Mus musculus: one gene and its partners. The protein of the gene in region 4 purifies or fractionates together with the protein of the main gene of each other region. This does not show direct contact. Links are inferred from orthologs where the notes say so. Each region holds a gene or a part of one and is shown on either strand. Other genes may lie near its edges. The genes, in order: Birc2, Tnfaip3, Nol3, Casp8 and Nlrc4.

Region 1 (6,628 bases), on a different chromosome or scaffold from region 4:
ACAAAAGAACCAATTACCTTGGAAACCATTTGGCGTGTTCTATCCAGGGGTCATCTCCAGGTTCCCAACATCTCAAGCCACCATCACAACAAAAGCACTTGACATCATCATTGCGATCCACGTAATAGAATCCAGCACTTGCAAGCTGCTCGGGCTGAACAGGAACACTAGGTGGCCAGTACAGAAATGTCCTCAATCGAGCAGAGTGTGTCTGCATACTTAGATTTGATATACTAAACCTCTGTGTTTCTGAAGTATTTTCCAGAAATGGACAGTGGGGAAAATGTCTGCGGTGCTCTGACATAGCATCATCCTTTGGTTCCCAGTTGCTCAGTTTCCCACCACAGGCAAAACAGGCCACCCTGTCTCCAGGCCCTATGTAATAGAAGCCAGCTCTGGCCAGCTCTGCTGGTGACAGAAAACTTAAAGGCCACATACTGTAAGTAAGAAATCTGGCCTCTTCTGTACTCATGGCATAGCTGCAGGGATCCATCCTTGATGAGAAGTCTTCCACTGCTCTAGAATTAAGAGGGCTAGAGCACAGGTTGGAGTGAATGCCACCTCGTTCCAGAGGTGACGAATGTGCAAATCTACTTTTCACAGGAGACATATTCTTAGATGGAGACTGCAGACTGGCTGAAAGCAGAGTCTGTACAAAGCTGCAGCTGGGATAGAACTGTCTGTGCTTTTCAACAGGACTGTCCCCTTGTTTCCAGTTATCCAACATCAGGCCACAGCAGAAGCACTTGACTTTGTCATTCACACCTGTATAATAAAAGCCAGCACGAGCCAGACTCCTCTCTGAGACAGGAACTCCCCTGGGAAAAGCTGAATATGTAGACATTCGGTAGAGTTCACACGAAAAGTCAAACTTCATTTTTTCTTCGCTCTCCTTTGTCCAATTTGACAAGATTGTGCTCTTCTCCATTATACGTTTAAGTTTTTGGTGTAAGGTACCTTGGCCGAGTCTCTGGGAGACAGTTTTGTCCATGAGTAGTAATAGTATTTCTGACCGCTTAAACTTCCAGATGAAGTTTCTCACCACTTGACACTAGATCTCCACCACAGACACCTGACTGGATAGATTCATTGTCTTCTGCTTGGACTGGTGAATTGACACCCTCACAGGACAAATCTGTCTCACTTGCCAAGACACTAGTTAGGACTCTTTGGGGGTCACATGAACTCTTCTGGGTAACCTGAGATCTATTTACCCATAACTAACTTCTTATTACTAGTTATGAAGCCTAGGTACTAGGGCATATATTCAGGCTCTTTTCCCTTATAAGGACTTAAACATGACATCTGAACTACTCCTTTTCCTATGAAATGAAAGGAACTGAGTGAAGTCTGCAGCTGGTTTTCCTTAGAGAAGATGTCATACAGTATTCTCTAAAGTGGGTTACATCAACTGCAGCAGTCAGCTCAGGTCTATTAAGACTACAGTATTCACTGTAAAGGAACTGCGCTTAAAGCACAGACTGTTAACTCCCTCACTGTTAAATCTTCTATATCACCACCTTGACTCTGTATATATCATGTGAATACATCTGGTCAACAGACAGTATTTTGCACATAAACCTAAGACTGCATTTTATAAAGTCCGCCTGTGTTTAAGGCCCTTTCCACTATAAGTCTGTTATAATTAAGAACGAATCAATTCAAGACATGGCTTTCTTTTGTTACCTCAAATAACTAAGAATCTGTTTTAGCAAAGCTTTTCTGTTGCACTAGCCTTCTTTTTGAAAACTTCGTATTTTATATAACTAATCATACACAAGAACACACTGCAAAGCAAACCGCAGCGTCTTATAGAAATGTTCAGATGTCCATGAGTGGGCTGATTTCTAGAAAAACATAAGAGAACATGAAGACTCTTGAGGACTATCAATCTGAAAGAAAAAAAAATATTTTAGAAAACTAATTACACAGAATTGTCATCATCAATTTATTCAGTAATGTCTAAAAATGACACACTCTAGATAACAAATCTTGACTACAGCAGTTCCTCACCCAACCAGTCTACTTAGAAAGGGTCTAAATCAAAACACACCACTGCAAAAGCATTCTCAAAGTACTAGTTATGCTTGTCTTTAAAATGCATAGCTCAGTATAGTTTAAAAATTAAAACTTTGAAAACAATGGACATTTCCATTTGTCAAAAACTGGCCCCCGATTTTCAAGTTTGTTCCTTTTATATATTATTTATTTACTATTAGAAAAAAATGTACTATACTTCATGAACTTTTTTTTTTTTTAAGGGACAGGGTCTTATTCTGTAGACTAGGCTGGCTAGAAAGTCAATATAACCCAAGCTGGTTTTAAAACTTTTTGGAATTCTCTTGCTTCAGCCTTCCAAGTGCTAGGACCACACTACCACCAGGCTCTTTTCGTTTTCTGATTTAAAGATATTTTGATATGCACTTCACTGGAGACAAAAGGCACCATAAATAGTGGAAAGGTAGTCTGTAAGGCTACTGATATAGCTCCATGTTAGAGCACTTGCCTTGCAGGTAAAGAACCCTAAGTTTAATCACAAGAAAAAAATTATATATACTTTTATATTCTATTAAAACATTTAATTGAAATATATAATACAGATATAAGTACATATAAAATATATTTATACACATAAACATATGTTAAGTTATAATACAATATAAAATAAATAATATATACGATATTTTCTATTATATTAAAATATAAATATTTCCTGAGGATTCCCGAGGTATACTTGCAATTTTAATCTCAACACTTGGAAGACAGATGCGGAATGAAACGCTCCTGCCGGACAGAACATTTGAACTAGCCAGGGCTAAATTAGCCAAGATAAAGGCACCGGGAAGAGCTCATAAACGGAATCCGTGAAGGACAACCATTCCCTAACCACCACAGGTAACATCTCAAAACCAAAAAAGTACAAGTGCCGGTAAAGCAGTGGCCTGAACAAAGCTACCACTACCCGTGTGGCCTAACTACACTAGCTGTTACAACGCCAGCAAGCACCCAACCGACACGGCTCTACGCCCACTGCAGGGGGGCGACACGTAGCTTGGAGAGACAAGAATGGAGAACACCTTTCCCAGTTAAACCAAACCTCTCACACGACTACTGGGGACAAGTAGTAACTGATGTGACAACCGTCATCCCCCTGCCGCACAACTTAGTTTAAAGGCATTAAATGCCGCGGGCTTAAAGCTTAAAAACCTGCAGAAAATCTGAAGAGACAGCCGAGGTGCTGCACACCAGTAATCCCAGCACCTAGAACGATTGGAGGCAGGAGGATTGCCGCAAATTCGAGACTAGCCTGGGTTGACTGAAAAAATAAACCGAAAGGAAAAGAAAGCAAAACTGTTATACAAGTCCAAGCCCAAGGACTTAGGCAGGGAGCGGGGGTCGGGCGGCCCTGAGAACTGCCTTCCGGGCCGAAGGAGGAGTCAGCTAGCCCGCCCAGCCGTCGAGAGCCACGCTCGCCCGTCCTGACGAAGGCAGCCGCACTCACCACCGAGTCAGGCCCCCGGCGCCCTGGAAGCAGAGGCGCCTGATTGTTGATCCGCAGCCTTCCCAAAAGCCCCTGCGGCCAGCGGGCCGTTGAGGTGACGTCAGCAGACGCGCACCGCAAGTTGGAACGCGTGGAGGACGGGGTGGGGCTGTGGGCCAGTCGCGCGCGCCTGCGCCTGCGCTCGCGCCTGCGTGCTCGGGCTTTGGAAGCTAAACGTTCGGGCCGCTGGGACTCGGACGAATAAGGCTAGGCTTTCCCGAGCGTCCGTCCTTGCCCCACTGCCTCCGCTGGGCGTTCCGGACTTTGATGCCATGTGTTTTAACCTGCAGTGCACCTTTAATGGCGGCAGCCCTGAGCCGCGCCTCCTAGCTCCCTGTATTTTCCGGCCTCACCCTGCAAGGGTCCTAGACAGGCACTAAGGCAAACGTGGCGTCATAGGTAAGGCGGCTCAGGCTCGTGAGCTGGCCTCGAAACGCCTGAGTAAAGCGGAATGCACGCGTGTGCGTGTACATTAAATATAATTTGGTTTTTTTGTAAGATGGGCTTTAACATTTTTGACAAGTGGGCTCCTCTGGCAGGCCGGCATGGTGGCGCTCACCTCGAATCCTAGAAATTCAAACCCAGTTGGGGCGAGGAGGTAGTTATGCATTTTTAAATTATTATTTTTTTTAAAAAGTGCTCTTGCAGGCGACCCAAATTAAGCGCATCAGGCCATAAATTTAAAAAGTAAGGAAAAGGCTGCGGACTAGTTTGGAGGAAGGCATTGAAGGGTTAACAGTATAATGGGAGAGAGTATGATTAAAGCGCACTATATATCTGTGATGAGATTGTAGAAGAATACGTTTAAAACTGGAAAAATAACCCTGACTTCATTGTTCACTAGCAGTCTGTCTCCCCACCCCCCACCCTCTGCTGCCTTTCCCGTACCGAAAGTGCTGCAAAATCATTAGCATTCAGGGTAGGACTTTCTGATGTCCCCACCCCCACCCCCGCGGCCCTGTTTGGCTTGGATGATTTGTTATGGTTAGTTTTGCAGTTTTTTTATTTGTTTGTTTAAGAAAGGATTTTATTGTAGGGCCCAGACTAGCCGAGGATTTAGCATCCTACCTCAGCCTCCAGTGTGCTGATTAGAAATGTAGGCTACTACCAGTGAGGTTTCTACAGTTTAATTTACTTTAGACTTGAAGGTCTTAACGAATGAATCAGATCTTCTCTCCGGGGGAATTCCATGTTAAATGGGCAAATATTTTAAAAACTTAGAAGTAAAACAGACCGCTAAATTAGGCTGCCAGGGGAATTCCGGGACCCTGAACCGTTTCCCATTTTCTTTCCCGTCATTTCTGCTGCAAGTCGGTCAGTCACAGAACAGGCAGTCTTCTGGTCTAAATGCTGATAATAAAAAGAAAGTATTCATGACAGTTTCTGATACACAGAAAAGACGTGCCAAGGTTCCCAGTGACTAAACTTCCAATGGTACACATGTGCCAATGCCTTGTTCAAGTCACTACTTCTTGGAAAGTTACACAAAACATTCCTAATATGTGTGGGAATCTAGCAGGGCCTGTGCACATTGAATTCAAGAATATGTCTCTCTCAGTTCTTGTCCTGACCTACTTCAGTATTTAGGAAATTTTCAATGCCCAAAACTCAGACGTTTTAGAACTTATTACTTCTTTTATAATATATAATCTTGGAGTCCAGTTGTTTATTTTGTTGACCATTAATTCAACTAAGACTTTCCCTATTGCCCATGTAGAGTTTGGTAATTTTGAAAAATATATTTTATTATTATATAATACACATATATACATATACTGATGTGGTTATCATGACATCTTTCATTTTATATACAAAAAAGTATACAGTTCAGAGTGGAGAGATGGCTCAGTGGTTAAGAGCACTGACTGCTCTTGCAGAGGTTCTGAGTTCAATTCCCAGCAACCACATGGGGCTCACAACCATCTGCAATGGGGTCTGATGCACTCCTCTGGGGTGTCTGGAGAGAGTAATGGTGTACTCATATACATAAAATAAATAATTTTTTTAAAAAAAGTATACAGTTAAAGACACTTTTGAAGAAAAATATGATTGAAAAGACTTCTACAACATAAATTGTATAATAAAACCAGGGGCTGGAGAGATAGTAATTAGAGCACTGGCTGCTCTTACACAAGACCCTTGTTCAGTTCCTAAAATCCACATCCTAGTTCACATCTGTAACTAGAGTTCCAAAGGATTTGACACCCTCTTCTGACCTCCATGGGCACTGCATGAAAGTTAATGCGGTGCCCAATCCCATTCAAGCAAAACGCACATCCAATAACATATATAAATGAATAAAAAGCGTAAGTCTGCACATTCTTGTTCATATGCCTTTCTCTGTTTGCTAAATCTCAGAGTCCGCTCAGAATTAGCACACAGAGACACAAATTTAGTAGTATTGGTGATACACAGCATAGGTTCAGCATAATATTATACTATAACTTAAATATTTGACTTAAAATTCAATGAAGTGGCAGGGATAGTGGCTTAGGTAAGAGGATTTGTTTCAAGATCAAGGCCGGTCTGGGGAGGAGGTGGACTGTGTACAGTGAGAGAGAGAAAAGAAATAGGGAGAATTCGAGAGGCCAAAATGTCTGGATTGCATTCCCCCTCTGGGGAGAAGGGCAGCCCAGCCCCTGGGTTGGAAAATTCAGTGTTAGGAGCAGGTTATGCTGGATAAGGACTAAGGGATGCTGGGAGAACCTGAAGGCCAGGTCTGCTGTGATATGTAAAATGTGCACCTCAGTCCTTTGTCCCAGGTCTGAAACCAAACATTAATTTGTCCAACAATCACTTGTTTTGTTTCATCTTGTTTGGGTGGCATTTGGGATGGACCAAGGGTTTTCTGCATGCTAGGGAAGCATCCTATAACTAAGCATCCTATAACTAAGCATTCTATGACTAAGCATTCTATGACTAACTAAACATTCTATGACTAAGCATCCTATAACTAAGCATCCTATAACTGAGCACTCTATAACTAAGCATTCTATAACTAAGCATCCTATAACTAAGCATTCTATGACTAAGCATTCTATGACTAACTAAACATTCTATAACTAAGCATCCTATAACTAAGCATCC
Region 2 (5,862 bases), on a different chromosome or scaffold from region 4:
TGTAGATAGTTTGTGTTCCTTGCTAGCCCTCTTTAGACCATATCTCGCCAACGTTGCTGAAGTCTAAACTCTACATGGATGGCAGATACTTAATAGCCTGATTAAAACCAGCCTACAGTTTGGTGTGGCAGGGCATGTCAGGATTTCTATCCCAGCACTTGGGGCAGAAGCATACAGACTGCCAGGACTCTGAGGCCTCCCTGGGCTACATAATGGGTTTATTTCAGGCTAGTATGAATTTTATCTCTAGGACACTTTAAATTTAGAGCCCATGGTAACTAGAGCTGCTGTCTACTGCTTTCAGGTACAAAAGCAGAGAGAAAGGTGCAGTGAGATGCAATTGCTCTGATTGCTGAGATAGGCTACTTTCCTGATGTTCAAGGCCCTTTCTAGACAGCAGCTACAGCAAGAGGCAATCTCTGATTTCACTCACGCTTATTTTCTCTGTATTCGATGAAACATAGAGTGCAAAAGCCCTTGTTTTCTGGAGTCCCAAAATACATGCAGCCAGCTTTCCTGCACTTGCTTGTCCCTGCTCTGTCTCCTGGAGTCCGTGCAGCCTGGGAGAGGCAGCCAGAAGGAGAGACATTTCCAGTCCGGTGGCAAGAGTGTGGAGTGAGACTTTGGATGAGTTGTGAGGGGTCAGACTTGGAGCGTTGGTGACAGGAGGCAGGGATACTGGAAGTGAGGCTGGAGCTGGGCTCTGCTGTAGTCCTTTTGAAACAGGTACTGCAGATGCCATTAAAGGTCCGAGTGACATCCTGAAGGCAGGCTTGGCACTTTCCAGGGTCTGCGGTGTGGCTGGCATTAATCTGCCGGGCGTGGCAACGCTCACAGAATCCATTATGCTGCACATTCAAAGTAAAAGGGCACCCAGGACTCCTGCACTTCATTGCAGTGGTCTCACTGAAGAGAAAAAGGCTGGGTGCTGTGGGTGGGGCTGAATGAGGTCCTCCAGCGGTTTCCTCGGGGCTCCAGTTTGAGGAGCCAAGTCCCACGCCTGGGAGTCCTTCAGGGCCTAGCTTCGAGTTCAGCTTTGGGAGCTTGCTCTGATTCTTTTGGCGCCTCTCTGAGCATTCGTGGCATAAAGGCTGAGTGTTCACGGACATGAAGAAAGGACAGTTGGGTGTCTCACATTTTATATCCATGAGTGATAGCTGGGGTGTGGAAGGCTCCAAGGGGTTCTGCGCATGTGCCGCTCTCCTGGCCTGATCGCTGTTCTCCTGCCATTTCTTGTATTCGTGCTGAACAAGCTCAAAGTAATCGTCTACCAAATTTATTTCTTTGGGTAAGTTAGCTTCATCCAATCTAGAGAACAAAGAGGAAAATGAGTGACCCCAAATAACACAAGACCTTTTATCACTAGCTCCCAGAACCCACTTCCACAATGCAGTCGTGGCAATAACTTCATAACCAAGCACCAAAATGCAGGCTTATGACAGGACACATCCAGTGCTCGTGAGAGGCACTTCCTGTCACCATGAGAGGTTCTCCAGCCAGGAGGACACGTCAAAGGAGCCTGCTTACTTTGCAGCGTTGATCAGGTGAGTCGTGCCGTGGTCCCAGCCTTGCACAGGGATCTCCATCACTATCAAGTACTCCTTTAGAAGCTTTTCCTTCATCTCATTCTCAGGATCTGTCAAGAAGTGAACTTTTAAGTCTTCAAACCTACCCCGGTCTCTGTTAACAAGTGGAACAGCGCGAAGTTCTGAAGGGGAAAAAAAAAAAAGAAGAATGTGTGAGTAAAACATTATCCTGCTAAATGATGGTGCAGATATGGTCATGTAATGATTCTAACTTAAAGCTACAAAAGGCATATAAAGAGTAGGAAAGCATCCTGCTGCCTCCCACCCCATCTTTCAACATCGTCTGCCTTTTAATTCCATCATGCCTTTTACCCTTTAAAAAAAAATCTAGATTCCATATATGAGACAAAAATATGTTGTTTTTCAGTCTGTATTATTTGTTTAATATAATTATCTCCTGCTCTATCTTTTTTTCTGCAAATGACAAAATTCTCTTTTTCCTTATGGATGAATAAAACTCCATTGTGTATATGTATCATGGATGTATCTTTGTCCATCCATCTGTTGATGGTCACCTAAGCTGATTTTGTAACCACAGCAAAGAGACAGTAGATTTGAACTGGTTAAATTCTCACGCCTCCCAGCGTGACCTGAGTTAGAATCTTGATTTTGTCAATGTCAAGCTAGGCATGTCATTTAACCCTTCTGAGTTTCCATGGCCTCATCAATAAAATAAGACAACTCCTGTCAACATCTCAGAAGGACACCATGAGAGTGGAATGAAACAATGCTGCCTAGCGCCCTAGCACAGGGCTCACTATACACTAAGGTATTACAATAATAGCTAAACATCTACCTGCTCTGTGCCAAACATGATACTGAGGCTCTGTGCACCTTAATTGGGTCACGTAGTAATAGGGGTGGAAGTATGCACACATGACTGTCCAACCTATGTTTACTATGCTGCATGCACTTCCTAAGTCACACCAAAGAAGATAAGGGGACAGATAGCATGTTCACTGCTATTGCAGTACTGGGCCAAACATGTTTGACTCTAATCTGAAAATCTCAAACCCTCGAATCTGACTTGACTTGGGAGCATGTAGATTTCTGATTAGGGATGCTGATATGGTCAAGACTCTGAAGCCTAAAATGATATTGATTCTAAGCACCTCACAGAAGGGATATTTAATCCTCCGTGACTGATGACAAGATAATGAACTTAAACAAAACAATGTCAACTGGGAACAAAAAGCAAGGCCTGGAACTCCAAGATCCATCAGGATCATGAATAGGAACTGATGTTTTCTTACCAGGTCCACTGTCCTTCAGGGTCACCAGGGGTACAAAGTGCTGGCTGTCATAGCCTAGGACGATGGGATATCTGTAACACTCCTGGGCAGGCCAGTGAAGAGGCAGATAAATCCCACCCACTTTCAAAGGAGCAAAATTGGAACCAGATTCCAAACTTCTTAGCATTTTGTCTGTTGATGGAAAGAGACAACAAGATAAGACCCCAGGTGACTTTTGTGATGCTCCCTCCACTGTAGGCTGACAGCTGCAGGGGGGCTCAGTTTCTCCTCAGAGCTGAAACTCACCCAGGGAACCTAGAAACTCTCTGAGGCACCTCACCTGAAATGACAATGATGGGTCTTCTGAGGATGTTGCTGAGGACAAATATGTGGATTTCTTCCAGGGAATTGTACTGAAGTCCACTTCGGGCTGCAGGTGTGTCTGCTGATGCCATTTTGACCAAGTTGTCCCATTCGTCATTCCAGTTCTAAGGGGAGAGAACATAGGAGGGATGGATTAACAACTCACTCAGAGGCCGCTCACTCGGCATCTGTCTGCTGTAGAAACTCCATTCACGCTTCTTCATCAAAAGAATGTTCATCCTCGGCCCCAATTTTGGTTTGGTTCCTTTACTTTTCTCAACTGCTGGGCAAGCTCAAAACTGATGGGAGGGAGATACAGACAGCATTTGCTTTCATAACAATCCCCCACTGGGGGTGCTGAGGCTAGCTCAGTTGGAAGAGTTGCTCAGTTGGAAGAATGCTTGCCTAACAAGCATGGTCTTGGGTTTGATTCCCCCACCTAAAATCACATGGCGATGCATGCCTGCAATCCCAGCACTGTGGTGGTAGAGGCAGAAAGATCATTTTCTGCTACATAACAAGTTCAAAGCCAGCCTGAGCTACATGATACCCTAGCTCAAAAACAAACAGAACATCCACGACCCTGAAGCTCTGCTTCCATTGGTTCAGAACCATTCCCAGCTTGTGGCTGAAGATTACGAGGTACATTCTCCCCAGTACTGGTTGGCTCAGCTAAGCCAGGAAACTCTGGGAAGTTCTCAAGAGGAGGTTGGAAGACATAGAATCGCCTACCTAGGAATCAGCTGTCCAGATTTAGCTCAGAGAGTGGTTAAAGCCCGGGTTAAACCCACAGAAGGTTCTTGGTGTTTTCCACTGAGTGGGCAATGCTTAAGTCGACTCATATGACTTAGTAAGTCATATGTTCCTCAGGGAACAGGGACTGGCCGAGAGTAGCCTTTGTCCACCACAGATAGGGCTGCCACACAAAAGCAAAACATACCCGAGTGTCGTAGCAAAGTCCTGTTTCCACAAATTCCTGAGATTTCAGAGATTCCAGCTGCCAGCGGAATTTAAAGTTCCGAGTGTCTGTCTCCTTAAGGGTGCTGCAGAGGGCCTTCCTCAGGACCAGGTCAGTATCCTGAACACCCCACATGTACTGACAAGCTGCATGCATGAGGCAGTTTCCATCACCTGAGGACAGAAGGAGCTGTGAGGAGCAAGGTTAAGCAGCCCAAAGCAAATGCCCTTCCAAGGTTATCAGGAGACACTAAGACCATTGCTGGGGACTGTAAAGTTGATTTTTAACCAGCTGATAACATTCTATAAGGAAGCTTTTCATTCTTCTATGTAGTGCCTGGTGCCAGCAGTGGGAGGTGCCAACCAGCCTCCACTGTAGCATGGCTCTGCACCTAACTGGTCTGTATGATATGGGAACATCCCTGAAAGTCTTTTCTTGTGTACTTGTGGGATGAGGGCACCAGCTTATGAACACTACAGTCCTTTCTTCCTGGTAATCTTTGGTTTGCTGGCTAAGGCCTTGATACCACTATTCTCTAGTTCTACGGAAGCTTTGCCGTCCAAGGCATTATATACACCAGGAAACCACTGTGGCTCGGCCTACTTGATAGGGCTGGTCTGACTATGACTCAGTGGTACGTGACATGCCCATTCCACTTTAGCTGTGGGGACCTGGGATTTTCCTCTCCTAGCTTATAAAGTAGGAATGACAGTACCAAATAATGCAGGCCCTGCCCCAGCCTCCAGTGCATTCTGAGGAATCTCAGGCCAGGGCTCTCTACCAGTGAGCTACATCCAGTCCCAGACTGCATTCCTTTTCATGCCCCAAAGAGTAAACATTTGGGGAAACCATTTAGTATAAAACTAGTCCGCTCTTCATTCTTGTTTGGAAAGTATTACATAATTTTAATTTTTAAAAAGTTTAAAGTGTGTGTGTGTGTATTTAATACTATTCAGTCAGTAAGGCAATAAAGCTATTTGAAATTCCATCATATTCTAAATATAGTAAACAACCTGTCAAATCCATATTCAGGGTCACTGCTCCTTCATCGTGCATGCTTCAAACAGTTTCCCAAACTACTGAACAGAAAAGATCACTAGAGCCTAGTGTCTAGGCCGATGTGTGGCAAGGGCTACATTCTGTTGAAATTTCCCCTTTGCAAAATCTAGAGCAAAGATAAGGCTATTTTTTTTTTCTCTTCTTCTTCTTGGGCTTACTTTCAGTTCTTTATTGAGATGCACCAGTATAAAATTCCCTAAGTAACATGTGGAATTCCCCAGTGCGAAGATATTTGACTAGCAATTGAGCAACAGTTGTTGTACGTTTTGTTCTGGTGTGTAGACATTTAAACTGTGAACTGCACCCTGGACTTTCCAAGTGGGTGTGGTCAGGCTGAGCTGGAACGGGCTACTCACTATACAAGTGAAATTGCCGCGGCCAATAGACGCTGGAATTTTCATGAAGTTTCAATTTTATGCCACCTACTCCCTTCCTCATCTACCACAGTCTCAGATCCTCAAATGCAGACGTGTGAACCCCCCTACCCCCTCCCCCCCTCCCCAAACAGGCCGGCCTTTGAAGAAAGCCTCCTGGAGGGGAGGGGTTTTTAAAAGGAAAGAAAAGATGCTAATAATAATCAAATGGGAAGAAAGCCACTTGTTTCCCCCCACCCCCCCCCCCTTAAAAAATACTTGCTTTCTTTTTCATAACTTTTCTTCAAAGA
Region 3 (5,355 bases), on a different chromosome or scaffold from region 4:
TCTTGTTGCTCTGGGCAAAAAGTGGTTTTTGATTGGAGCATTTGAATGACTGTCAAGATGATTGGCTCGGGCATTAGGATGTTGGGAAGCGGGCAGGTGCTTAGTATCTGTGAGGGCTGGGGCACACAGAATGAACTGGGACGAAGGAGATGAGAACGTAAGTAGAGAAGAGCTTGCCCTGAACCAAGAAGTTGTCTGGAGTAGGCTGCGAATGGATTTAGGTAGGGCTTGGGATGACTTGTAGGGTGTGAATTTTGGGGCGGGGCACGAGGATCTAAGAGTCTCTACTAGAGGTCCTTGGAGTGAGTTCTCCGCCCCCTCCTCCTCCTCCTCCCTGCAGGCACCCACTACCTGCGTGGTGTGAATAATTCGCGGCAACCGTGGCACAGCACTGAAGGCAGATTGCAGTACGGCCTTCAGCCAGCCAACCCTACTGAGGAGGGCCTGGCTAGCCTGCATAGTGTGCTGTTTCGAAAGCAACCATTCCTGTGGCGCGCCGCCCTGCTCTACTACACCATCCACCAGGCGGCGCACATGTCCTTCCGCCAGCTCTTCCAGGATCTGGCGCAGTACGTGCAGGACGAGGGTGTACGCTGGGAGTACTGCGTCCGTGCCAAGCGAGGACAGACGGATACCTCCCAGCCAGGTGGGAACTGTGGAGTCGCAAGAATGCTCAAGCTGGCGCAAGGTGAAGGGTGGCTTTTGGGTAAGGCTCGATTGGTTATCCTTCTCACAGGCTGCTTCAGCAAGGACCAGGTGTACCTGGATGGCATTTTGCGCATCCTACGGCACCGGCACACCATTGATTTCCAGCTGCTGACCTCGCTGGGCAAGGTAAAGGGCCGAAAGGCCCAGCCAGCTCTTTCTTCTTTAGAGTTATGTTTGGTGAAGGCCTCGACACTTGGGAAGGCAGACAAAATGAGACAAAGTTTTGGTAGCACAGATCAGGTGTGTGACCTAGCCTGCAGATGTGTACATAGGTGTTAAGGGAGGTGAGCACTCCAAGGCAGGGAGAGGTCAAGAAGTTCTGGGGAAGAAGGTGGGAGAAATGGCCAGGGACCAAAGCCCAGGTCTTGTACCAGGTTGAGGCAAACCTCGATAGAAGCAAAGGGGGGGGGGGAGTATCGTAAATGTGTGGGCATGGATTTTCTTTAAAAGGCTCCAACTGAATGTTCTGTGGGAAGTGCAGGAAATGGAAGACCTAGATAGGCAAGAGAAGGAGGTCTTCCATCACTCTTACAGAATTGATAATGGCAAAGCTATAAACTACAGATAAAAGAACTGTTGGACTCCCTGAATGGGGAAATGAGAACCTAGTCGGCCTTTCTTGGACCTGATTGTGGTGACTATGCAGAGGGGAGGACAGACAGCTGACATTCAACAGTCTCCTGTTGGATGTGGGAGATAACCCGAGAGAGAGACCCAGGTATCAGTTGGATACCATTTAGAGGTGAGGAGATAAGGTGGGCTGGAGAGGAATGGGTTGTACAACGTAGATAAAAGATAGAGAGAGAAAGATAGAAGATCCAGGGCAGAGCCTGAAGGTATCTATTGTAGGAGTCGATGAAGAATATACACAATCATCTCAGGAGCAAATGGCCCTGAGCCATGGGTAGATCCTGGACTTGAAAGCCAGGCACTTTGATTAGCTCTGAGGCTCAGTTTGCTTCCTATAGGTCTCCTATGAAGACGTGGAACAACTGCGGCCCTACGGGGTGCTAGACAATACCAGAGTGCCCCACTTCATGAAGGACTTGGAACGTTACCGGCAGCAGCTGGAACACATCATGACCACCAACCGGCTGGATGAAGCGGAGCTGGGCCGCCTGCTGCCTGACTGATGTTGACTAAGGGTTATAGACAGACGCTCTTGACAGAGGTCACAGATCGGAATATGAAGTTCTTTATGGTTCCATAGCCTAGGTGTTTCTTGGGGGCATTTGGGAGGCCAGGAGCATCGTGGGCAGATGAGAAGCAACGTTAGAAGGTTTTTGTCCTTGCTACCCTTCCTGGGGCCTGTGAACTGCAGCAGCATGTCACATAAACTCCTGAGCAGGGGAGATGGGAGGGCGATGAGATGGGAGCTGAGTGTGAATAGAAATGTGGGTTGGTTTGGGAATAGAAACTTGTTCCTGCATGAGATGGCTTTGGGTGTCTGGTACCACTCCTTCCCTTCCCCCTACCTGGCCGATTGGTGCTCCTTCTACACTCATACCTCTACCTCTCACTGGGGCCAGCAGGAGTTGGGAACCCCTCTGAGGTGATTTGCCTGAGCATGGGGTTCCGGCTGTCACTCAGGCTCAGAGACCCAGCTGGGCTGGGCTTTGCCTTTCAGCATTCTGTCTGTCTCACTGGTCATGCATTGTTCCATAGTCGCCCTCATGGGGTCATTTCATGCCTCCAGGCGGGGCCCGGAAGTAGTAGTAGTAGTAGTAGTAGTAGTAGTAGTAGTAGTAGTAGTAGTTCCATGTAGGGGCAGGATCCTTTGGAAAAGTACCGTATGTTCCTAGACCCCTTCCTTCCTTCCTTCCTTCCTTCCTTCTTTCCTTCCTTCCTTCCTTCCTTCCTTCCTTCCTTCCTTCCTTCCCTCTCCCTCTCTCCCTCTTCCTTCCTTCCTTCCTCCCTCTCTCCCTCTTCCTTCCTTCCTTCCTTCCTTCCTTCCTTCCTTCCTTCCTCCCTCCCTCCCTCTCCCTCTCTCTCTCTCTCTTCCTTCCTTCCTTCCTTCCTTCCTTCCTTCCTTCCTTCTTTTCTTTCAAAGACTTATTTATTTTATGTATACGAGTACACTGTAGCTGTCTTCAGACACACTAGAAGAGGGCATCAGATTCCATTACAGATGGTTGTGAGCCGCCATGTGGTTGCTGGGAGTAGAACTCAGGACCTCTGGGAAAGCAGTCAGTGCTCTTAACCACTGAGCCATCTCTCCAGCCCCCTAGACCCCCTTTCTTATCACTCACACAGACACACTGTGTCTTGTGTCTTGTGAGTCCAGCACCTGGTCCCACCCTCAGTCCCCATGTTAGTCTTGGTTGTGCCTGTCTTTAACCACAGCCTCACAGCTGGTCTCTGGCAGTGGTTAGGACAGGCGGGAGCAACCACAATCAAACCTACAGGGCAGGCCCTAGGGTTTGTTATCCCACGTTCAGGCCAGGATTAGTACAGAGCTGGTTAAGGCTTTCATTTCACTTCAGATTCAGCGGTGGGAGAGTGAGCTAGTACTGTCCTAACCCTGGCTTTTCAGTTAATGTTTCCATCTGTGAAGCTTGGAAACACAGCTGGGAAGTTTGTATTCATTTACTTAGTAGATATGTGCAGAGCTCCTTGTGTATGTCTGTGACTGGTTAGACCCCACGCCCCTCACTGAGCTCCCAGTTCAGAGGAAAGCCAGACAATTAAACAGCAGTTACAATGATGTGTGTGGCTTCTGTCTACTCAAGTTTCCTCTCAGGTCCTCCCTGCAAGACTGTGAGCGCCAAGACTTCTCTCCATGTGTGGATGGACATCCCCCTTCACTTGCTTGGTACACCAAGCCGAGTGATTTCCATGGATTAGAAGTGTTGCCCACTCGGCCTCCCAAATGGCCCCTGAGGGGAATAAAGTGGGTGAGGGAGGGTCAGATTTGGGGGCCTGCATCTGAGATCTCCAGAATTACAGCTTGGGCTCTTTGGGAAGTGGAATGTTTTTGAGGGGATGGGGGTATTTTCACACAAGCCTGCTCAGGTCAGTGGGATTCAGACCCACGCTCACCCTCAGTTCTTGAGCAAAGAGCCAGACTTGTGGAGAGTCAGGAACAGACTGACCCTCCTGAGTTTATTCATTTGGCAGTAGGTGTCTCGGTGCATCGATGGGGTCAAGCTCTGGCAGGTTTCCAGGTCTTATCCAGCACAAATAGGATTGGACAGCTAAGGATTCTGGCCTTCAGGAATCTGGAGATGAAAATGATGGTTAGTGGAATAGGGATCAACCCCCCCCCCCCACACACACACACTTTGCAGTCCACAACCCGTAACAAGCCTGCAAGCAAGGGTTTAGGCGCTCTCACAACCTTCAGATTCATCCTCTTCTTGGAAGTCGGGCTCGGGTTCGGGTTCCGGCTCGGGCTCGGGTTCTGGCTCGGGCTCGGGTTCCGGCTCGGGCTCGGGTTCGGGTTCTGGCTCGGGCTCCGGCTCCGGCTCTTGTTCTGGATTCATTTCTTGTTCCAGGTCTGGCTCATCCCCTTCAGTAGCTTCAGCTTCTAGTTCTGGCTCCTCTGGAGTTCGAGGCTGCAGTGCCTCAGAGCCCTCAGGACCTCCGACCTCCTCTTGCTCTGACGCTCTTGGCAGCTCAGGACATGTGGTCCCTGAACTGGGTGCTTCTGGCGTCCAGTGGCCTGGGCATGAAGGGTCATAGCTGCGGTTCCGGTAGCCTGGGAAGGAAGAGGGAGTACTTGAGGTTCAGTTCACCCCTCTGTGGTTACCTCCAAATTCTCTGCCCTCCATTTACCCTTTGCTTCGCCCTGCCCCTAATCCACGCCCTTCGATTCATCAAGGCTCCACCCTCTTGGTGCTCACCGGGCCCCACGTGCTGCCAATCCCAGGCCGGGTCTGGCATGCGCACTGTTTGCTGGGCACAGCGCAGTAGCTCCTGGCAGGCTGCCTCGCCCTTGCTCTGCACCAACAGCAGTAGGCGGCGCACCCTGCGCTCTGCATCGGGCAGCGCATCCAAGGCTTCGTACTCGGGCCCAGTGAGGACGCCCCGGGCCACCAGCGCATCCAGCAGCAGCCCAGAGTCAGCCTGCAATGTCTCTACCAGCCGTTTCCGTTCCCGGTCAATGGTCTCTGATGGGCGCTCCTGCACGTTGCCCATTTCTGCTGTGTCAAGAAGGAGAGAAGGGGGCGGGGCGTAATTTGCGTTACTCTACGCTGACCAGGAGTTATCTAAGTTCACCTCAACATCAGAGTCTGGATGGTTGCTCAGCGCAAGACCTAGAGGCCAGGGGCCCAGAACGCACCCTCCAGCTTCTTGGCTGCTTCTGTCCTGATTCCTCAGGTTTCTTTTGCAGACTCCACCTGTCAGTGGAGTGCTCTTCCCAGCTAGGACCTCCCTCCCTCCTAAGCCCCAGACACCTGCACAGTTGGCTACCAGTTGAGACCCAGTTTATCCAACTGAATTATTTTGTCTGAACCCAATTCCTTACCTAAATAGGCAGAAAACCCTAGGCTTGATTCATACCTTCTTCCTCGCCCCTGCAGCAAACCTTGGATCAAGGGCAGCCTGCCTGATCGCTCATACAATCGGGTCTGCACCCGAAGGGCCAAGGCACCCGTGTTCCATTCACCTAACACGGAGGTCCAGGCATCCCAGAACCTTGCCCCT
Region 4 (5,862 bases):
TCACCCCCTCTGTTAACTTGCCCCAGGTCCCTGCTCCCGTCATTCACCCATTCTGTTAACCAGATTCATGCTCCAGTCTTGCTTTCTTACTCATGCATCTTCAAGTTTTCTTTTTTGTTTTTTTCAAGACAAGCTTTCTCTGTGTAGCCCTGGCTATCTCAGAACTTGCTATGTAGAGCAGGTTGGCTTTGAACTCAGAGATCCTCCTGCCTCTGTCTCCAGAGTGCTGAGATTAAAGGTGAACCCATGGAAGCCAATTTGTATTGCCCAACTATTCTTGGGAGAGGGACCTGCCTTGGAGTGTGATTGGCCTACCAAAGGTCGCTCCATTTTTTAAAAAAAGCAAAACAAAACATACATACAAGTGATAGTATACAGGTTATATTTAGAAATGTGTGTGTGTGTGTGTGTGTGTGTATGTATGTGTGTGTACAACAGTTAATGAGAAAAGAGGCCATGTATTTGAAATTGGAACATAACAAAGAAGGGTTTAAAGGGAAGAAAAGGGAAAATTATGTAAATGTAAATTCAAAAGCAAAAGAAATTCTAAAAAATAAATTAGACTCATCCACACAAAAGTGCACAGATAAGCCATGTGAACTGTGGAGAGCACACATCATTAGGGAGGGAAGAAGAGCTTCTTCCGTAGTGTGAAGGTGGGCTGTGGCATCTGCTTTCCCTTGTTCCTCCTGTCGTCTTTATTGCTCACGTCATAGTTCACGCCAGTCAGGATGCTAAGAATGTCATCTCCTCTGAAAAAGAAAGCAGCGTAAGCATATGGGACAAGGCAGTGTCCACCGTCTCACTGGCTGTGCCCACCGTCTCACTGGCAGTGCCCACCGTATCACTGGCTGTGCTCACTGTCTCACTGGCTATATCCACTGTCTCACTGGTAGTGCCCACTGTCTCACTGGCTGTGTCCACCCTCTCTCTGGCTGTGCTCACTGTCTCACTGGCTGTGCCACCCACGTCTCATTGGCAGTGCCCACTGTCTCACTGGCTGTGCCCACCCTCTCACTGGCTGTGCTCACTGTCTCACTGGCTGTGCCACCCACATCTCACTGGCAGTGCCCACTGTCTCACTGGCTGTGCCCACCACCTCACTGGCTGTGCCTGAGGTAGGTTCTCTAGTTCTGTCTCTCAGAGAGAGCATCGGACATTTGCAGTTGAAAGTCACTGAATCAAGACCTCTCACCGCTGTTCTGGCAACTCAGTTTTCTCAGAGCACACAGAGTTACTTTTGTGTACTTGGAATCTCTGCTGGTTACAAGAAACCAGAGTTCCTATCAGATTTGCTTTCCTTCTCTGTTAACCTATGTGTTCCTCCATGTTTCCCATGTTGCCATTTGGATCTCACAAATGCCTCCCTCTCTTCCCCCAGTACCCTCTGCCTAAATCAGCATTGCTCCTACAGGATCATCCACAGATTTCTACTAAAATGTAGGCAAGTAAAGGCTAAGCATTTCCCGTAGCTACCTCCCCATCTCTGACACCAGCAGTCTGAGCAATCTTGTGGAGCAACCTCTTCATCAATCTGCATAGCTGACATGGATCCTGTAGGACTCAGGGTCTGTGTTACAAAATGAAAGCACTGCGATGGTGTTCCTGTCTACTCTCCACATGCCATGGGAAATTCTCACTCTTCAGACACCAGACGATAAGACAGAGATGTAAAAGGAGCCCGTAGAAGGGCTCCTCATTGTTCAGCTATCAGCCAGGTGTAAGTGGGAGGGAACCTGAAGTATGGAGCCCTAATTTAACTGGAGATGAACCATATGCCACAGGGCTATCATCCCACACTTGTGGATTCCTAGCAGGTCAAATTAGTAGAGATATAGAGGTCCCCTGCTCTTCAGTACGGTTATAGTTTGCTAAGAAGATTCAAGGCTAGATAGCAATTGGAGAGGATTTCTTTCTTAACTTTTAAAAATTACATTTACTTATTCACACAGGCACATGACATGGTTCACATTTGGTGGTCATAGGACAATTTGAAGGAGTTGGTCTTCTCCACCATATAGGCCTCTGGGGATCTAATTCATGTTATAAGACTTATAACCAAGTGCCTTTACCCAGTGAGCCATCTTGCCAGCTCTAAAACATGGCTTCTGACAAAGGTGAGGTATGTTAAACATAGTGGTTTGCTTCCATCTGGGAAGACTCCCCAAAGGGGTTGAGTTGCCTTAGTCAGTTACTACCCAAAGACAGAGCTGGACTGTGTGGTATTAGCAACCTCTCTGGCTCTGTGGTACCTCGGTTGCTAAATAAAGGAAACTCTTCAGTAAACATATTCTTTTCCCATCTATGAACTAAGGAGAACAATACGTGCCATCTCTCCCACTTTGCCACTGACCTGGGAAATACAACTGTGTCAGCTACAGCTAGACATTCAGAGATGGAACATGCCAATGGCTACTTCTCTGCTTAGTATATATTATCTCGGCCATAAAGCACCTTCTAATGGGCTCTAACCACAGAAATGAGTAAGGAAGCATAACCCTGAGAGGGGCCCAGGAGGCCAAACTTACTGAGGACATCTTTCCCTCAGGCTCTGGCAAAGTGACTGAATATACCAGGTTCCATTCACAGGATCTCGGTAGGAAACGCAGTTCTTCACCGTAGCCATTCCCAGCAGAAAGTCTGCCTCATCCGGAATATAGTTCTTGTGAGATGATGAATCCACTTCTAAAGTGTGGTTCTGTTGCTCGAAGCCTGCCTCATCAGGCACTCCTTTCTGGAAGTTACTTCCTTGGCAAGCCTGAATGAAAAAGATCTTGGGTTTCCCAGACAGGGAAGGGCACTTTGAACCAGTGAAGTAAGATGTCAGGTCATAGATGGAGGCCTCCTTCCCATCCGTTCCATAGACGACACCCTTGTCACCGTGGGATAGGATACAGCAGATGAAGCAGTCTTTGTTCTTGTGGTCTGCGCTTTGGTAGCCTTCTAGAATCTCGTGGATTTCATTTGCAGTGCAGTCGTCGTAAGATACTATCTCAAAATGAAGCTCCTTAAAGGTCTTACTCAGAGCCTCTGAAAAGTAAGATGGGAAACCATGAATTACAATCATTCCCAGAACACAGCCTGTAGGCAAGAACCAGAACCTGAGCGGTCCTTCTGCATCACCACCAATCGGATTGTACAGGCTCCTTATGTTTATTGTTGCCTGCTGAAAGTGCTGTGTACTGCCAGCTGGAACTTTGCTGAGTTCTTGCACCATGAGGATTCATTTCTACTCTCATTCTTTTTGACAGTCTAGCTAGATATAGCATTCGTTCCAAAATCCCCTTTCCTCTGAATTTTCATCTTTTAGCTTCCAGATCTGCTATTATGAAATTCAGTGATATCCTGATCTGTGACTGCTCTACGTATCTGACTTGTCCATACCCCTCCCTCTCAATCTCAAAGATGCAACAAGCGCTTTCAGACTGGAGAACGTACACTCACTTCTTGCACAGGTCCATTTCCTTGTCTTTGTCTTATGGCTCTCATGGTCACAGATCTGGCATCTGTGACCAGTATTCTCCATTTCAACTCCTATTGTTCCCATTTTCCATCAGTGTTTTCTTTTGGTCTGACTTCCTGAGTCTTAACCTTGCATATGTTTATTGTTGTCCATGTATTTTAAATGCTTTACATTATCATTTTGTGTGTACGAGTGCTTTTATCGCATGTATGTGCGTGCCAGAAGAAGAGAGTGACTCCTCTGGAACTGGAGATACAGGCAGCATGAGAGCTGCCATGTGGGTGCTGGGAATTGAATCTGAAGCCTCAGAACAAGCAGTCAGTGCTTTTAACTACTGAGTCACCTGCAGAGAGAGCATCTTATGTGCATTGTATGGATGCACTACCTGTCAATTAAAAAGCCTATGGCCTATGGCTTAGGCAGGAAAGAGAAGGTGGGACATTGAGAGGAGAAAGAATTCTTGGTAAGAATTGGTAGGAATTATTTTATGTATATGAGAACACAGTAGCTGTCTTCAGACATACGGGAAGAAGGCACAGGATCTCATTACAGATGGTTGTAAGCCACCATGTGGTTCCTGGGAATTGAACTCAGGACCTCTGGAAGAGCAGTCAGTGCTCTTGAGCCATCTTTGAGCCCCATTTCTGTATCTTTTTTTTTTTTTTCAAGACAGGGTTTCTCTGTGTAGCCCTGGCTGTCCTGGAACTCACTTTGTAGACCAGGCTGGCCTCGAACTCAGAAATCTACCTGCCTCTGCCTCCCGAGTGCTGGGATTAAAGGTGTGCGCCACCATGCCCGGCACCCATTTCTGTATTCTTATACTTGTTATAGGTATATTGTATACTTATAAATGAATATTGTTCCATTTAACTTGTCAGCTCTCAGTATAAACATAAGTAGGCTGCCCCAAGGCAGGTCTCACTAGTTTAGCATCTTGCTGGGAGCTCACAACTCCTGCTGCAATTGAGAAACTTTCATGAGCAAACTACCCAGAGTAAGTAGGATACCATAGCAATTGGTTTTGACTAATTCATTCTCCAGAAATATTTTTCATTTAGTTGAGTTAAATGTAAAGCTCAGGGCTAGAGAGATTGCTCAGTGGTTAAGAGTCCTTGCTGCTCTTGCATAGAACTTGTCCTGTTCTGGATCCAAAGGCCCTCGCACACACAAACATACACACACACACACACACACACACACACAAGTATACACACACACATATGCACACACACAAAGGGGCATACATAGAAATATATATATATATATATATATATATATGAAATAAAATTTAAAAAAATTTTAAAGTTCATTGATGCTCTTCATTATAAATGTTAGAAGGCTATCATTTTCAGCTCAAATGGAGGTCCCAAGGCCTGACCCTATTACTAAGGCTATAGAATACTCACAAAAAGGGACCTATCGTGACTGCCCTCTGAAAGACCCAACAAGCAGCTGAAAGAGTCAGATGCAGATATTTGCAGTCAATCAATGGGCAGAAGCAGTTGGCCCCTGTTGTTGAATTAGGGAAGGCTAAAAGAAGCTGAGGAGAAGGGCAATTCTGTAGGAGGACCAGCAGCCTTAATTAATCTGGACCCATGAGATCTTTCAAACATTGGACCAGCAATCAGACAGCATACACCAGCTGATATGAGGCCCTCAACACACATAGAGTAGAGGACTTTCAGGTCTGTGTTCATTCACAGATGATGCATCTAACCCTCAAGAGACTAGATGCCCCAGAGAGTATAGAGGTCAGATGAGCTGGGGAATGTGGAGATGGGGTGGGGTGGGGAGGAGGTGTGTGATGTGGAGCAGTCAGAGGGTGGATGGGGAGAGGCCGGGAATGGAATATGGAGTGTAAAAAAATGAATTACAAGTAAAATAAAAAACAAAAACAAAAAAAGAAAGCTATCATTTTATCATGATGAATATATTACTTTGATTTTAAAACCTATTTTTTGAAACAGCAGAAAATAGATATGTAAGAAATATAAATAAATAAAATGAATAAGAAATGCTTGATAGAGAGGTGAGCTGCATGCTGTGTCCACTCCTCCTATTCCCCTGCCCCCAGCACCATGGCCTTTCCTCTCCAGGAGACCTGCCCAGCCTCAGGAACATCCAGGCATGTAGGTCCCCAGGAACACCCAGATTAGACCCTACCTCACCTATCCTCTGACTGCTGATTCCACCTGGGGCACAACTACAGACAAGCTTTGCTCTGTGACATTGGCAAGCCCATGGCTCTGCCTCCCTTCCCTAGAAGGAGGCCTGCTAGACTCCAGGAACACTTAGGGCCACCTGAGGTACAGTCAGCAGAGGTGAGCAGCTTGCTGTTTCCTGAGCTCTCTTGTCAGACCCAAGGCTCTGCCTGCCTCCCTGAGGAGTACTGTCAGTGA
Region 5 (6,592 bases), on a different chromosome or scaffold from region 4:
ACTTGAGATAAAAGAAATAAATCTTATAAGAGGGGATGTGGGGCAGTGGACTGTAAGAGGAAACCTGGTAAGGTTGAGCTAAGGTTAGAAGCCTCAGAGACCCTGAAGGAACAGGACGAGTTTGCCTGCTCCCAGAACCAAGCCTCTGTCACGTAACCACAGCCTCCCACAGCCCTACACCCACCCTGTAGAGATGTTGGTGGCCATCAATCCTGTAGGGGCAGCACCTAGAGCCCTCCGACATGTAGACAAGGTATCTGCAAGCTCTCAGACCAAGCTAATTGGAAGTACCTGCTGTCAGACCCTGACTAGTCCCAAAACTGTATTTAAGGATCCTATCCAGAAGGAATAAAGGTGTGTGAGAACTACTCTTCTGAGAGTGTCTTTCATAAGAGCTGTGAAACACCACCGCCAGGGAAGAGACCACCTGCTCTCCCGAAATGCCAGCAGAAGCTCCCTCGAATCCCTCGCTGGCTAGTCAGCCTCCCGCCAGTGAGGGCCCGACTCAGAGCAGAGCTGGTGCAGCGTTGCGTTTTGTTTTGTTTTGTTTTGTTTTGTTTTGTTTTGTTTTGTTTTGTTTTGTTTTGTTTTGTTTTGTTTGGAAGAGAAGCGGTGGAGGTGGAGGCGGAGGTGGGGGCGGAGGCAGAGGCAGAGGTGGAGGCAGAGGCAATTCCCCCTCCCCGCTCTCCTTCTCTCCCCTGGGCCTGAACCCTCGCACCTGGCAGGGCCAGAGATCTCCATGGAAAGCCTCAGATACACAGACCCACAAGAGGGTGGAAAGATTGTAAGAGCCAGAGGATCAGGGGTTTACTGGGAGATTGCGTCTTCTAGTAATGTCAGAAGCTACACCCATAGAGTCTCACCAACACCACCTCCCAAACATGAACTGAACAAGGAGGACACCAACGAACAAGCCAAATTGCATGGGGGACTGGATCTGGGAGTGGCAGGCCCATGAGGACTCAGTCCTACAGGAAGAACTACAGACAACCTGGTAAAGCAGGGAGCCTGTCCTAGGGACAATCAAATGGTCGGCGTCAAATGGTTAACCCCGAAGATACACATACAAGTAACATACCGACTCAACAGGCTATATTTGGGAATATAAATGTATATATAAGTACACCTTTGCATGTGATATGAGTTGATGAAAGGGAAGCTATAAATTGAAAGAGAGAGAGAGAGAGAGTGCAAGCAGGGAGGGGCATATGGCAAGGTTTACAGGGAAGAAAAAGAAGGGAGAAACGTAATTAAAATATAACCTCGAAAATACTTAAAGTTTAAAAGAGGGGGAAAAAACCCAACCACATACTGCTTGTCTTATCTAGGGTTTTACTGCTGTGAGCAGACACCATGACCAAGGCAACTCTTATAAGGACAATGTTTAACTGGGGCTGGCTTACAGGTTCAGAGGTTCAGTCCATTATCATCAAGGCAGGAGCATGGCAGCATCCAGGAAGGTATCGTGCAGGGGGAGTTGAGAGTTCTACATGTGAAGGCCGCTAACAGAATACTGGCTTCCAGACAGCTAGGGCAAGGGTCTTAAAGTCCACTTCCACAGTGACACAGCTACTCCAACAAGGCCATACGTATTCCAAGAAGGCCACACCTCCTAATAGTGCCACTCCCTGAGCTAAGCAGGTACAAACCATCAAACTGCTCTTATAGAGGACTTGAGTTTGGTTTCTAATACCCATGTTGGGCAACTCACAACTGCCTTCATGAGTATCTGCACTTATGTGCACCCACCCGCACACATGCATGCACGCACACTCACACATACACACACATATACACACTCACACACACACACCACCACCACCACACATTAAAAATAATTGTTAAGAACAAAAATTAATTCTTTAAAAATTCAAGGCAAGCCAGGCACATGCCTTTAATCCTAGCACTTGGGAGGCAGAGGCAGGTGGATTTCTGAGTTCGAGGCCAGCCTGGTCTACAGAGTTAAGTTCCTGGATAGCCAGGGCTACACAGAGAAACCCTGTCTCAAAAACCAAATACATACATATATACATACATACATACATACATACATACATACATACATACAATTCAAAACAAGGTGGAGTTGTGACCAGTTTGACCATCTGGATTTGGAGTCATGCCCTGAAAATCTTCCTACCCACCCAAAATACCGGAATTGTGTGGAAGCGATCCTTTTCTTATGTTCATGCCTTGGCAAATAAGATTCTCTTTCTTATTTGAAACAAGGTCATACAGCATAGCCACGTCTGGCCTGGGACTCACTGTCTAGCTCAGTCTAGTCTCAGACTCATGGTAACGCTCTGGTCTTAGCCTTCTCAGTGTGAAGATGACTGCCATGAGCTCCCACATCCAGCTTAAGTGATAATGTTCTTTCAGATCGTGATGTGAGTTCCTCAGAAAACTGAAATCCTTCTTGACCTACGTCTCGTGTGTCACTCCCACAACTAGGGGGAAAGAACTCATATAATTGGCTACAGAAAGGCAGCATGTGTAAATTTTTTTCACATTGGTTGATTGGTGTGTGTGTGTGGGTGGGTGGGTGGGTGGGTGGGTAGGGGTGCTCGAGAGTGCCACGGCATTTGTGTAGAGATTAGAGAAAAACTAGCAAAAGTCAGTTCTCTCCTGGAATAATCTGTGTCCCAGGGATCAAACTCTGGTCAACAGGCTCGGCGACAAGTGCCCCTTCCCCCTGAGCATCTCCCCTGCCTCTGGATTATGCTTCCTTTGCTGAACTGTTAGCACTCACATCTGCTCCAAGCCTGGGACTATAGCGATGATTAACCAGGAAGACGGATGGAACAGAGGCCACCAGTCCCTGTGATTCATCTATCATTCCAGTATAAAAATGTCCTGATCTAGAATCTTCTTAGATCTCCTTTGGACACCCGCAGCTCACTGAATACTCTTAGTGCTATGTAAATAGTGTATGAAAATTGTCTATAGGCACAAGTGGGAGTAATGGGAGACTGGAAGAATAAAAGAGGTTAAGGGAAGTTAGGAGAGCCTGATTCCACCCCGGCAACGGGGTTATTAAGATGCTCTGAGATAAAGAATGGACACACCTTATCTGTTATCACACAACTCAAGTCTGTAAAGCACTTCCTAGACACACTGGGGCTGGAAACACCTCAGCACACAACGCAGGTCTGTAACACACTTTCTATAAGCATTCTTCCTATCCCCAAGAGGGACTTGCTTAACTTTTCTGTCCAAGTTCAAGTATCTTGTCAGAGGCTCAGGACACTGGACGGACCAAGCAGTCTCTCTCTCCCTCAGCTCTGGGTTTCCTTCCTGTGAGGCCAAAAAGCATTTTCTAAGTCTTTTTGTCTCCATAGTAAATACAAAGGCGTTCTCTAGGGCTCCAAATCCTTAACACCAACTCAGAAAAACGCAGCTAAACTCCAACAGACCAACCAGGCTAACCACCCGCCCCCAACACTGCCTACCCTCAAACCAAGTTTCCCTGCAGGCAAATCAGCCCAATGGGCAAACCATCCACTGCAGGACAACCTCACAGACACAGGCTTCAGTGGACCTAAATTCTAATTTCAGGATCTGACTCTAAAACTGATTTAAAAACCTATTCCCTCTCCCCGAGGTACCTGGCCAAGCAATCCAGTTGCCTTCGAAGGAAAAGTCGTCTTAAAAGTAATTTTCTTTCTTTCTTAATCCAAACTTCTTTGTCCATGAGAGACAACTGTAGAAAAAAGGAAGTGCCTGGTGGGTTCTTCTCTTGCTTAAGAACCATAATAATCGGGGTATTTACATAATTACGTAGCAAGAAAAAGGAGTGACTGAGTAGCCAGGAAGTAGGGACTTTGAACTTAGGCACTCTTTGCTTCCTGGTTATTCATGTGGTAAAGAGTTAACAACTGGGGCTGGAAGATGGCTCAGCCTTTAAGAGCACTGACTGCTCTTCCAGAGGTCCTGAGTTCAATTCCCAGTAACCACATGGTGTCTCACATCCATCTGTAATGGTATCTGATGCCCTCTTCTGGTGTGTCTGAAGACAGCAACAGTGTACTCATATACATTAAAAAAAAAATGAATAAATAAATCTTTAAAAGGTATGTTGCATTTAAAAAAAAAAAAAAAGAGTTAACAACTGTTTATTTCTCCAAGCAAAGGGAATGAGAAAGCTTTGAATGACAAGGCCCAGGAAGACAGGGTACTCAAAGTTCAAAAGCAGCAACTGTTCCATGAAGGTTGTGTGTGTGCGTGTGCGTGTGTGCGTGTGTGTGTGTGTGTGTGTGTGTGTGTGTGTGTTATTCTGTTTTGTTTTGTTTTGGGACAGACTCTTTTTACGTACCCTTGGCTACCCTGGTACTCCCAGTATAGATCAGGCTACCTTGAACCCCACAGAGACCCACCTGACTCTGCCTCCTGAGTGCTTAGATTAAAGGCACATCACTACTTAGTTTCAGGAAGCTTTTATATTAACAGGACAACAACAACAAAAAAGTCATCAATCAACATAATTTCAAATACATTGGTGGAAACATTGGGTAGGCAGGTTGTAGCAAAGAAAAGAAAGCCTTGGTAAAGACTCCAGATCTGAGGCCATCTTGAGCCATCTGGGTTGTTATGAGCTGGTACCCAGCTTTGTTAATAAATCCCACAGGTTTTTGCCCGATAGGTCAGACACAGAAGTGGATAATAAAGAAGTTCAAAGGGGCTGGAGAGATGGCTCAGTGGTTAAGAGCACTGACTGCTCTGCTAGAGGTCCTGAGTTCAATTCCCAGTAACCATATGGTGGCTCACAACCATCTGTAATGAGATCCGATGCTCTCTTCTAGTGTGTCTCTGAAGGCAGCTGCAGTGTACTCATGTAAATAAAAATCTTTAAAAAAAAAGTTCTAATCAGTTGATCAGCTTCTGTCTGGACTCTTAATTCTGGTATTTTAGACACTCAGTATGGTTTTTGCATGTCTTGTCTTATCTTGGACTTCTGATCCTCCTGCCTCTGCCTTCTAAGAAGATTGTGGGCATGAGCCACTATGCCTCACTCGGTTTTTTCATAATGAATGGGGATTAAGAGGTGGACAGAGAAAAGATGGAAAGTGAAATGTTCTGGTTTGGTTGGTTCAAGCATACTGTCACTGAGGACAGAGGCAAACAAACTTATCTCTGTACCTTGGTTTCCAGCAAAGCTGTACTCTCAGTCACTGGGGTCGGGGCAAGTTAGCCCAGGCTAGTCAGGTGTCCACACGATTGATAATGCATGAGACTCTTCTGAACTCACAAAGCCAGGGACTTGAGCGGACATACACATACTCAGCATCCCCGAATATACTAGAAAGCTAAGACATACTCAGCTTGAAACAGAGAGGCCTCGCTGCTCTCTGTCAACAGTGCTCTCTGTCAACTCTTTCCTCTGTCTTTGCACAAATTGCTGGAGACTGTTTTAATTTTTGTTGTAGGTTTTTTTTTGTTGTTGTTTAATGTTACACAACTACTTGTTTTAAAAAGAACATTCTAAGCCAGGCATTCTAGAAAAATGAGGCAAGCAGATCTCTGTGAGTTCAAAGCCAGCCTGGTGTACATAGTGATTTCCAAGACAGGAGAACTACATAATGGAGAGATCTTGTCTCAGAAACAAACAGACAAACAAAACAACCCCCCCCCCATATTCTGACATATTAACCTATTCTGACATATTAATTTAGCTGGCCATGTATGTCCAATGTGAGTACCCATACATCAGCTCAGGGGTTCTCAACCTGTGGGTCACGACCATTTATGGGGTGGGGGGAAGGGGGGCTGTCACACATCAGATAGCCTACATATAAGAGATTACATCACAATTAATTTTTTAATTTTTTATTTTTAAAGATTTATTTATTTATTATGTTTAGTACACTGAAGCTGTCTTCAGAGCGTCAGATCTCGTTACAGATGGTTGTGAGCCACCATGTGGTTGCTGGGATTTGAACTCAGGACCTTCGGAAGAGCAGTCAGTGCTCTTAACCACTGAGCCATCTCACCAGCCCCTACATTACAATTCATAACAGTAGCAAAATTACAGTTATGAAGTAGCAAGAAAAATAATTTTATGGTTGGGGGTCACCACAACATGAAGACACATATGCACAGTCAAAACGTGCAGAATAAAAATAAAAATAAAAGTAAACATACAAATGGAATACTAATAAACATTCACAAAAACTTTTTACTATAGCTTCAGCCATCACAAACAAACTTCAGCCATATAAATTACTTTAAAAATTGCTACGCGCCGGGCGTGGTGGCACACGCCTTTAAGCCCAGCACTCGGGAGGCAGAGGCAGGTGGATTTCTGAGTTCGAGGCCAGCCTGGTCTACAAAATGAGTTCCAGGACAGCCAGAGCTATACAGAGAAACCCTGTCTCAAAAAACCAAAATAAATAAATATAAATAAAAATTGCTATGCACACTCCAGTGAAGTCCGCCTGGCAGGCCAAGAGGCCTGGAAGCACTCGGAGGCAGGGAGTTTCAAGGAAACTCAACCTCCTGGAACCAGGCATTCTCATAACCTGTATACTCATACCCTATCCCCACGTTAGTCTGGTGTATGGATCCACCTGCTCTCTTTTAGTATTATTTTATTATA

Evidence for each region.
Region 1: the proteins of Casp8 (region 4) and Birc2 purify together in Homo sapiens (affinity purification with western blotting; 4 studies listed by BioGRID and IntAct, with this or other methods). This does not show direct contact. The link is inferred for Mus musculus from reciprocal best matches to the Homo sapiens genes CASP8 and BIRC2.
Region 2: the proteins of Casp8 (region 4) and Tnfaip3 purify together in Homo sapiens (affinity purification with western blotting; 3 studies listed by BioGRID and IntAct, with this or other methods). This does not show direct contact. The link is inferred for Mus musculus from reciprocal best matches to the Homo sapiens genes CASP8 and TNFAIP3.
Region 3: the proteins of Casp8 (region 4) and Nol3 purify together in Homo sapiens (affinity purification with western blotting; 3 studies listed by BioGRID and IntAct, with this or other methods). This does not show direct contact. The link is inferred for Mus musculus from reciprocal best matches to the Homo sapiens genes CASP8 and NOL3.
Region 5: the proteins of Casp8 (region 4) and Nlrc4 purify together in Homo sapiens (affinity purification with western blotting; 3 studies listed by BioGRID and IntAct, with this or other methods). This does not show direct contact. The link is inferred for Mus musculus from reciprocal best matches to the Homo sapiens genes CASP8 and NLRC4.

The regions. Positions count from the first base shown.
Region 1 is NC_000075.6:7,833,488-7,840,115, forward strand, and holds the start of Birc2 (baculoviral IAP repeat-containing protein 2), read right to left. Parts: upstream 3,571-6,628; 5' UTR 3,503-3,570; exon of another isoform or gene 2,739-3,502; intron 2,558-2,738; exon of another isoform or gene 1,893-2,557; 5' UTR 992-1,892; coding exon 18-991; intron 1-17. UniProt on the Homo sapiens protein: Multi-functional protein which regulates not only caspases and apoptosis, but also modulates inflammatory signaling and immunity, mitogenic kinase signaling, and cell proliferation, as well as cell invasion and metastasis.
Region 2 is NC_000076.6:19,004,024-19,009,885, forward strand, and holds part of Tnfaip3 (tumor necrosis factor alpha-induced protein 3), read right to left. Parts: intron 4,313-5,862; coding exon 4,122-4,312; intron 3,307-4,121; coding exon 3,159-3,306; intron 3,011-3,158; coding exon 2,840-3,010; intron 1,709-2,839; coding exon 1,528-1,708; intron 1,309-1,527; coding exon 434-1,308; intron 1-433. UniProt on the Homo sapiens protein: Ubiquitin-editing enzyme that contains both ubiquitin ligase and deubiquitinase activities.
Region 3 is NC_000074.6:105,278,466-105,283,820, reverse strand, and holds the end of Nol3 (nucleolar protein 3), read right to left. Parts: intron 4,851-5,355; exon of another isoform or gene 4,848-4,850; 5' UTR 4,846-4,847; coding exon 4,551-4,845; intron 4,406-4,550; coding exon 4,046-4,405; intron 3,927-4,045; coding exon 3,919-3,926; 3' UTR 1,882-3,918; downstream 1-1,881. Other genes in the region: 4931428F04Rik (uncharacterized protein KIAA0895-like), read left to right, coding at 341-646, 737-834, 1,677-1,841.
Region 4 is NC_000067.6:58,841,512-58,847,373, reverse strand, and holds part of Casp8 (caspase-8), read right to left. Parts: intron 3,031-5,862; coding exon 2,529-3,030; intron 753-2,528; coding exon 620-752; 3' UTR 1-619. UniProt on the Homo sapiens protein: Thiol protease that plays a key role in programmed cell death by acting as a molecular switch for apoptosis, necroptosis and pyroptosis, and is required to prevent tissue damage during embryonic development and adulthood.
Region 5 is NC_000083.6:74,455,401-74,461,992, forward strand, and holds the start of Nlrc4 (NLR family CARD domain-containing protein 4), read right to left. Parts: upstream 3,709-6,592; 5' UTR 3,606-3,708; intron 3,295-3,605; exon of another isoform or gene 3,205-3,294; intron 3,194-3,204; exon of another isoform or gene 3,066-3,193; intron 1-3,065.